Linked DNA regions of Drosophila melanogaster. The protein of the gene in region 2 purifies or fractionates together with the protein of the main gene of each other region. This does not show direct contact. Each region holds a gene or a part of one and is shown on either strand. Other genes may lie near its edges.

Evidence for each region. Proteins that work in one complex are often made in the same cells at the same time.
Region 1: the proteins of CCT3 (region 2) and mtgo purify together in Drosophila melanogaster (affinity purification with western blotting, with the first as the bait; one study listed by BioGRID). This does not show direct contact.

Annotation. Positions count from the first base shown.
Region 1 is NT_033779.5:16,543,204-16,548,056, reverse strand, and holds the start of mtgo (miles to go), read right to left. Parts: upstream 3,042-4,853; 5' UTR 2,619-3,041; intron 1-2,618.
Region 2 is NT_033777.3:16,645,696-16,650,630, forward strand, and holds CCT3 (chaperonin containing TCP1 subunit 3), read left to right. Parts: upstream 1-1,909; 5' UTR 1,910-2,200; coding exon 2,201-2,234; intron 2,235-2,292; coding exon 2,293-2,354; intron 2,355-2,439; coding exon 2,440-2,939; intron 2,940-3,005; coding exon 3,006-4,044; 3' UTR 4,045-4,283; downstream 4,284-4,935. Other genes in the region: CG10324 (uncharacterized protein), read right to left, coding at 1-251, 325-1,046, 1,096-1,232; Mettl4 (methyltransferase like 4), read right to left, coding at 4,351-4,935. UniProt on the Drosophila melanogaster protein: Molecular chaperone; assists the folding of proteins upon ATP hydrolysis. Known to play a role, in vitro, in the folding of actin and tubulin.

The sequences.
Region 1 (4,853 bases), on a different chromosome or scaffold from region 2:
CGGCATACTGGCATACATAGCACGGCGAATTATTTGTGTGTGCCGATGTGCGGATATACAAATGTGTGCCTTTATAAGTGTGCTTTTATCAGGGTGCGTCAATCTAAGCCAAGTTCTGAATTTACGAAAGTCTTGAAATGCCAAGTATATTCTTATAAAGGTTTAAGCGCTAAAAGGAAATCAACAGTCCGCAAAAATAGCTGATCTTAATATTTCTTCTATTAAAAAAAAAGCACTTAATTTTAGTTCAGATCTTTACTTAGTTTAAGTCCTATATGCATGAACAAGTTTAATCAATATTGAAGTTTTTTATATTTAGCTTCGAACAAATTGCTCCACCCTAATGCTCCTGTATCCTTGTTCGCGATGAGCGTATACCCAGACAACGAAATGTCACAGCAGCCTACTTATGCTTTTTTCGCATCGCGTTTTATCCCCAAATGTGTGTGCGATTTTTGGTTCAGCTTTTTGGCATATGGTCGCCGTGCCGGAAAAGTGGGAAACCGGTAAGGGGGCTGCTTTCCCATTTGCAGTTTGGCTGAAAAGCTGTTTCGCTTATTTCCCTCTTTTTTAGTCAACCGTTTCTAGATAAATATTTTGCAACACCGCATCGCATTTCCATGATTAGCAGATAAACATATGCCAAGTTGCAAACTTGGCGTGTGTGTTCGGAGTGTAGAAGTTTAGAGAATCCCTGGGTAGTGGGCGGTTATACACGCGACTTTAATTGAGCTTTCAAGAGGACTAAGTTAAACATACAAATGTTTGCTTAGGATGCAACAGCTGTTGGCTGTGAGTTAAAAATTGTTCGAAAAAAACCTCTTTGGAGAAGTGGAATATCTTAAAATATTTAAATTTAAAATTTGATTTAAAACAATAAATGACGTAAGGTTTTTAAATTATAGTATAAAAATACTAGATTAATCGAAAATTAATGAAGTTTTGTATACCGCATTGAAACTGTGTATCTAAAGCTTTTAACTATTTAATGCCCAAAATTGCCTAATAGCGGTTCAGTTTAAAATAAAAAAAAATTTAATTACCCGTTATTATCACAAAATATATTCCTCACTAACTAAAATCCTTTTATCTTTAACCCCACACCCATTGTCATTCCATTTGGTTGGAATGTAACGCCTGCCCTTAATTCAATTAACTTTAATGAACCAAATTATAATTGCAAATAAATTATCTTATTAAAGACGCAGAAAGTTCGCACTCTTGCCTTTTAGTAGCACTAAAACTCTGAAAACGGCGTCAAGGCCAATTAGAAAACTTTGTCCAAACATCTCACTACCAAGAAGGACGAAACTGAAACTTATCTTTTGGATCAGCAAGAGCCCATTTTCACCCAAAAAAACCCCGTGTGTCTGGGCGACAATCTAGCATATGCCAAAGTAAAAAGCTCACCAAAGTCAAACTCGATTAAAAATGCATAAATGCAATTAAACGCAAATGGAAATCGAACCAAACTCGCAAAAGCTTCAAGCGAAAACGCCTCGAGGTGGAAAAGCCAAAGAGATACACTTTCCAAGAATTCCACTTTTTTCACAGACATTTGTTTTTAAGCCTAGAAGTTTAAAAGTATTAATGGATTTGCAACACATACAACATTAAATACAAGTGATTATATAATAATTTTATAATTATATAATTAAATTTTTTATTTAAATTAATTTTTACTCAGAAACATTTGATAGTACGGTATATACCCATAATTTTATTCAGTGTATGAAAGCAAAAAATGTAAAAGATATATGTAAAGAGGCAGTGGGCGGTGGGAGGAGGCCAGATATCCAAAAGACGCGACAAGTGTCGGCCGAGCTTTGTTTGGCGCAAAGAGAGCAGCGCACTTCGAAGAGCAAAAAGCGCGAAGCCAAAAATCCAAAGACGACCATAGATAGTAAATTGCAAAGTTTATGCCGCCAAGTTCATGAAATTGTAATAGCTTCATACCACGGTTATGCTTCACCAAAGTGGTCATACAATTAAAAAAATTACGTACACCTAACTTTAATCCATTAAACTCGTACATTTATAATTATAATTTCTGATTTGGCGGAATTAATGAACTAAGTACATCGTGCATTCATTTTGCTATTGGGTCCACGCATGAGCTTTGTAACAGTAAAAGAAGCCCTGACCATGCAGTTGCGTCAATGGGTGCGAGGGAGAAGGGTGAGTGTGGGAGCAGGAGGTGGGCTTGGGTATTAGAGAGAGAGAGAGTGGGAGAGCGCGAGAGGCACTGGTTGAGTTGGTTTTGCTGACTGCACTTGTTTTGCCATCGTAGTTATTGTTTTTGTTGCTTGCAACGTTTTGCTGCCACTTGGCCGCAAAGGCAACAAAAACAAACACACACTAATACACGTGCGCGTTATTGCCAATTCACCCACATACACACAAACAACAGTTAGCCGCCGCTTGTGTGTGTGTGTACGCTAACATATTGAACGCATTTTTTCATATTTCTCAATGGAAAAGCCAACTCTAAACACCGTTAATATCATCCATATTAGTTAGTTGTCATTTGTGAGAGAAGAAAATGTGAAAAACATGTAAATTGCTGGGCAAAATAATGCAACATATGCTAGCACCACACTCTGATATTATCAACTTACTTTGCAAGTATTTGCCTTTGAATTTGGATTTGATTTTGCTTTTGTTTTCTATTTATTTATTTGTTGCTTTTTGGTTTTATTTCTTGCTGCACTCACTAACACAGAAACACACACGTACGCGCTAAACACGAAAAGCAGCCAATATATTTTATTCGTTTTGATTTTCACTGCTTGGAAATTTTCGCATTTCCATTTTCGAAATGCGTAACAACAAGTATTCTGTGGTTGAACAAACAACGATTTACGCGAATATAATAAAATAACGATAAACGGTTATTACGATGGTTTCCGCTGGCCAAAAACCTGCGACGAAATAGTCAACTGAGGGGAAAACAAGTAACAATTGTACCTGCCGAATTTGTTTTTAAACGCTTGCCAGCTTTTCTGATTTTCCGATGCGAACGCGCGCGCTGCGAAAAACATATTCGAAGCGAGTCGGAGAAGCCCCTCTATATAGATTCTCTCCGGCGCTTGAAAACAATTCGCATTGAGTGAGTTACGAAAAGCGGCTGATTCGGGCGCCAATTTGCTCCCACGAATTCTGCACGCTCTTACTCCAACGCATTGGAATGCTCCGCGCTCTTGAGCGCTTTCTGCACTGTTCGCTCGCTAACGGTAGTTCATGTGACGTTAACGTAAAGCTTGTTTCATTGCTTCATTATTGCAATGCAAAAATTTACATTATTTCTTCTAACTTACCCATTAACCGAATTAAATCTAATATCTAACATCAAATAAGTCGTTATCTAAATTATTGTTTTAATTTTTTATTTGACCTGGGCTTTTCTATCGAATTCTATGTAATTCAATGCAAAAATTGAAGTTGTTAGTATTTTTTCTTTGTGCATAAGAGTAAGCAATTGTTGCTTTCGTGCGCTCTCTCTTTTTCACTATCTTTTAACCCGTTCGTTTGCGTGGGTGCCAGGGAAATTTCCACCCACTGAAAGTCCTAAAATTGAGTTATTAAGTGAATCAAGGGCCAGCAAGGTTTTTGAGCATAGTTATTTGAATGTCCAGAAGATCAGCTTATTACCAAATGCATTTATTTGATTACTCTATCATGTGACACTACGTGTACAAAAATTATATGAATAAGATATTTACGTAATGAAGCCGAGTACGACTTAACAATATTTTAAACTTAAAGCTAAATATACATTTTATAATTTGAATAAGAATAGGATTGGGAAATTCATATTTAAGGACGGGCTTAATATATAATATAAAATATCCCTTTTGGCGTCGACTGCGCTGCATTTCCTCTGCCGTCGTTTTTGTTCCAAAAATCGCGTGGGAGAGTGAGTGAATAAAGGAAAGGTTGGAAGAGGGAGAGGGAGAGAGTGAGAGTGAGTAGGTGAGTCCAGATTGAGTTATTTTTCCAAGCCTGCAACCTGTATGAAATTATGGCTCAAGAGGCCAAAAGCTTTACGCGGTTGAAAATTGTTGCTTTTGCGACGCCGGCCGAAATGCAAACAGCTGTTTGCAGAATACAACAAATAATAAATAACTTGAACTTCAAAGCAAAACGGAAGGAAGATTTCAATATTTCATGGAAAAAAAAAGAAAGAAACTGGCTAACAACTTCATACATATATAAATTTTAGTATACGTAATATTATTTGAAATCTAGGCAATTTTGTATTATCAAAGGTCAATTGAACAATATACATAAGTGGGAGAATCGAAAAATGACTCGTAATATAAGTCTAGTCCTGCTAATCCGTTTTGCAATGGACACCACATTATTCAAGTCAATTTCTATAAAATATATAATAAAATGATAATTGAAATTCATTTTCTAAGCTACGTTATAGATTGTAAATCTTTTTGTATAATTTATTTTTCAAAATACCGTTAATCCTTTTAAATGAACCCGACTGGGAGGATACATTTCTGTTGAAATTCTTACGTATGTAAATACTTCAATGAAATTGTTAACAAAATCTCCGTATAACACTAGTACTTACAAAACTTTTACAAGAGCTTAAGGAAAGCGTTAGCATATAACCAAACCATTGCGGTAGGTGTCCACGCTAAAATGTAAATTAAATGTGAAAGCCGGAAATACAGTTTCAAGTCATTTCCGGAACTATTCTGGAATCCATTCTATCCAAGTTACAACATAATAAACTCCTTAAAGGGCTATACAAATATTTGGACTAACCAAGTAAAGTTGGGTATGAAAATATTTTATTTTAATAACTGTATATTCCCTTAAAAATGGAATAGGAATAA
Region 2 (4,935 bases):
GTCTTTGTACGTTTTTTTGTCTTCATATTTGTAAGACCTTTTATCTTCTTCCTTGCATTTCATGCGATAGTCTTCTTTACTAGATCTCTGGTCCCCTGGCTTCGAACTCTTTTGATTTTGAGCTTCATCCCGGTCTGATCTAATTTCTTCCCTGCGGTCTCTGTCCCTTCTTCCTGACGGATTTTCCTGCTTCACAATAATCTGGCCATGCTCGTTTTCATTTTTTTTGAATTCTTCGTATTTGGCAGTGTCTGAAAGTAAATGTAAAAGAAATATAAAAATGTCACAAATATAAAGGATTTGCATTTTCCAGGCTCCACTTACTTATGCACTTGCCATACTGAGAGTACTCCTTGCGGGATACGGGCTGACAAAGGAACTCGTTGAACGCCTCTTTGGCCCCTCCAATTGCCATTTTGACAATTACTCGCCCTGCATGGTCATCAAAACCTTGGATTTGGCCATACTGATCCTTCTGCTTTCCGCCCAGAATGCGCACGTACGCCTGCTTCTTAATCTCCAGTACCTCGTTCTTCTCCGGCTGGACCAGTAGAGCTTTAGGTTTGAGCGCCTTATCTGCTCCCAGGCCCATGCCTTTGGGTCGCAGAAAGGGGGCATCATCGATGGGTCCTGAGCCCTTCTTTTTTGGCGGTGGATCAACCCAGCCCATGCCGCGCAGCATGGCTAGGCCAAATTGTTGTATCGGTATGTTGTCATAGTCATCTAGTGTTGCCTCCTTGGCACCATCGAGAGGCAGTTCGTCTGCGCTTAGGGCGGGCAGGACAAGTTTCTGGTCATCTAGGCCTTCGGCACCGTTATTTTGGATGGCAGATATCAATTCCCGAGCTGCTCTCTGTTCCAGACTCTCCGTTGGACCGCCTGCGGTGACCTCTGCTATAGACTGAGCCACTGGAGTCACCTCCTCTGGATCCGGTTCCTCCTCGCCCAGCAGAACTGCCCGCCTCCTCATCAGACTCGCCAAAGCGGACGAAGTCTTCTGCATGCCTATCATTTTGATGGTAAGAGGAGCAGCTTCCACCTTTTCGCTAAATATTACATATGAGTATAAAACTATTTCAAGATATTTTAACTTACTCGACTGGCATGATTTCGTTTCCTTCCAAGCATTTTATCAACTCCACCTTGCTTTCCTCTTTCGGCTGCTTGCTGGGCAGAATGTTTGGTTTCTTGGACAATTTACTAAAGCCAAAAGATATCTTCTTGGCCTCCATGTTGTCTAGTTAAAAAATTAATAACTATTAAAAACAAATTGAAGCCGAAATGTATCGTAAACAAACAGGCCACAGCTGACTCGCGGTTTGTTATCGATATCGATAATTTATTTAATTTATGAAACGCTTACACTACACTTTTAAAGTATTTGCAAAACTTATTTGTTTTTCCATTTATATATAAAAACTACCATGAAATCCATTTAATACGTTTTGAGCAGTTTTATTGAATACAGCACAGGATCTTCAAATATTAAAAAGTTCGACGCTGTTTATGTAACTCATCATTCCAAGTAATCACTTTTCCCCCGTTATATTCAGAATATCCTCCAACATTTTCTTTTTCGAAGGTGATACAATTTTCATAAATTATATTTTAACTTCTTTTGAGTTTAGTTGGTTAGGCTTTTTAGGCTTCAAAATTTCCACATTTTAATTATGATGTGATAGAAATATGCTATATAACATAAATTTAAAATCCATTCGTAATATAAATTAATTTCCAGTATCACTTACACCGTAGAAAATATTATTTATTGTTACAAGTTTAATGTTTTGATTTCGCTTAAACCTCAGGGTGGAAAATTTAAAACCAAGTTAGGCGCCTTCAAAAAATCGCAGTTATGACGAATGTAATTCTGTGACATCGATAACAAAAGCTGCATAGTGTAAGTATACTGTTTCTCGATATCGATTCTTAAGAGAGCTGCTGCTTCGAATTGTGGAGAATTTGAATTAAACTTATAAGCGATCGCAAAAGTCAGTTAGCAGTAAGTGAGGAAAGAAAAGAAACTAGAAGAAGGAACTGGCAGAAGTAACTAACAAGCCGGTCCGCTCAATATCCTATCGAACCTTCTCGAATAATGTGTCATCGGCGGTTCTAACCTCACTCATTCTCTTTCAAACAGCGGCAGCGCCAGCACGAGTTCAATTGTTTTCACGCAGAAATAAATTAAACAGCCAGAAAGATGTTCGGTGGACAGCAGCCAATACTCGTGTTGAGTGAGTATGAAATTTGCACGTCGTAGAGCCCAATTGCAATCGAATTACCCGCCGACAGGTCAAAACACAAAGAGAGAATCGGGCCGCAAAGTGCAGTTGGAGAACATCCAAGCCGGAAAGGTATGCGTGACTCACATGTCTGGGTCTTGGGTTTTTGTGTTCTCGCGTTTTCCGACCATCTGTTGATTAAAACGTCTTTTTCCAGGCCATCGCCGATGTGATACGCACATGTCTGGGGCCACAGGCCATGCTGAAGATGCTGATGGACCCAATGGGCGGCATCGTGATGACCAACGATGGCAACGCCATCCTGCGTGAGATCACTGTGCAGCACCCGGCGGCCAAGAGCATGATTGAAATTGCTCGCACACAAGACGAGGAGGTTGGCGATGGTACCACATCGGTCATCGTCCTGGCCGGCGAGATGCTGGCCGCCGCCGAGCCCTTCCTCCAGCAACAGATCCACCCCACTGTTATCATTCGCGCCTATCGCGAGGCCCTCGAGGACATCGTCGGCCACCTGCAGTCCCAGCTTAGCATCCAGTTGGACGTCAAGGATAAGGCCAAGATGGCCGATGTGGTCAAGGCCTGTGTGGGCACCAAGTTCATTGGCAAGTGGTCCGACCTTGCCGTCAAGATTGCCCTGGACGCAGTCGAGACAGTGACGCTAAGTGAGAACGGCCGTCTGGAGGTAGACATTAAACGGTAAGAACGAAATTTGTTATGCATATTATTTTTGAATAAATAATTTTAACTTTGTTACTTTCACAGCTATGCCAAGGTGGAGAAGATCCCGGGTGGCGCCATCGAGGAGTCGTGTGTTCTTAAGGGCGTGATGATCAACAAAGACGTGACGCATCCCAAGATGCGACGCCTCATCGAGAATCCCCGCATCGTGCTGCTTGACTGCTCGCTGGAGTACAAGAAGGGCGAGAGCCAAACCAACGTGGAGATAATCGGGGAGCAAGACTTCACCCGCATGCTGCAGATCGAGGAGGAGTTTGTGCAGCGCATCTGCGCCGACATCATTGCCGTGAAACCGGATTTGGTATTCACTGAGAAGGGTGTCTCCGATCTCGCCCAGCACTATTTGCTGAAGGCTGGCATCACGGCCATCCGTCGGCTGCGTAAGACTGACAATCTGCGCATCGCCCGCGCCTGTGGTGCCACCATCGTGAACCGCACTGAGGAGCTAACCGAGAAGGATGTGGGCACGGGAGCTGGACTGTTCGAAGTCAAAAAGATCGGCGATGAGTACTTCACTTTCGTGACGGAGTGCAAGGAGCCCAAGGCCTGCACCATCCTGCTGCGCGGTGCCAGCAAGGACATCTTGAACGAAACGGAGCGCAACCTGCAGGACGCCCTGCACGTGGCCCGCAACTTGGTGCTGGAGCCACGCCTGGTGGCTGGCGGCGGAGCCGTTGAGATGGCTGCCTCCCAGCTGCTCACGCGCAAGCAGGTTAAGGGACCATACACGGCGGTGGCCCACGCCCTAGAGATCATACCGCGCACACTGGCTCAGAATTGCGGCGCCAACACGATCCGTGCTCTGACTGCTCTCCGCGCCAAGCACGCCTCCCACACCGGCGATGGTGTCTGCGCCTGGGGCATCGACGGCGAGTCCGGCGAAATCGTGGACATGAACGTGAAGAACATCTGGGAGCCGCTGGCCGTCAAGCTTCAGACCTACAAGACCGCCGTGGAGACGGCCATCCTGCTGCTGCGCATCGATGATATCGTCTCTGGATCAAAGAAACGCGGCGGCAACGAGCCCACCAATCCGGCGGCCATGGCCCAGGGTCAGGAGTAGTAGCCTGCGATTAACCACGTGTATTAATAATGCTTACTATCCTTTAATACTTAATTTAACACTCAAAAGAAAAAACAAAACAAAATCCCACACACGCCACCCCAAATGTTTAACATTTAGCTTCAGCCAGGCATCGTTGGCTTCTCTGGAAGAAGGAAACCCATCCGCCGGCCGCCTACACACAAAATTCAAATGCATTTGCTCTCATTAACAGTACACAAATAAAATTGTTAAAACTCATAGCTGCTTATAAATCCCTTATTTAATGAGGTACTTGTAAAAATTAAATACAATAATTAGGCGTAGCTAATTTACCTCCTCCTGGTTGCAATGTTCTACTTTACGGACTTCATATAGCCTTTCGTCCATCAGTTTGAGCACTTCTAAGCCAATTGAAGTGAAGTGGGGATGCAGATATCGGGCAAACAGCTCCAGGCAGTTTGGTTCCAGCTGGTCCTTATCCAACAGGAGGTGCTCCCTCAGCCAAGACAGCAGTGGTGGCTTGTGGGAATGCACAATGCTGGGCACGCTGAAGATCAGCTCGGTCTGTTGGATATCTTTTCCATAGTTTTCAGAAGCATCGGAGCGACAGGCCACGTAGAGCATCTCGTAAGGCTGCTTCTGGGTGAGATCCGACTGCGGGGGAGCAATTAGTTCATGGTCTGTGCTAAGTTTGTACCATCGGAGCTTGTGGAGCAACCGGAGATTCCAACTGGGCAGCAGCTGCTGCTCCAGGGCCAACTGATGCAGCGTCGAATTGGTGCACCAGATGGCCACCAGTGACCGTGGGTGCGTAAGCTTCGAGAGCGGTATGTGCGACAATTGCTCATTGCTCAGCATCGAGTATCCCAGCTCCGGCTTGGCCCGCTTCAGCCTGCGGATGTACTTATT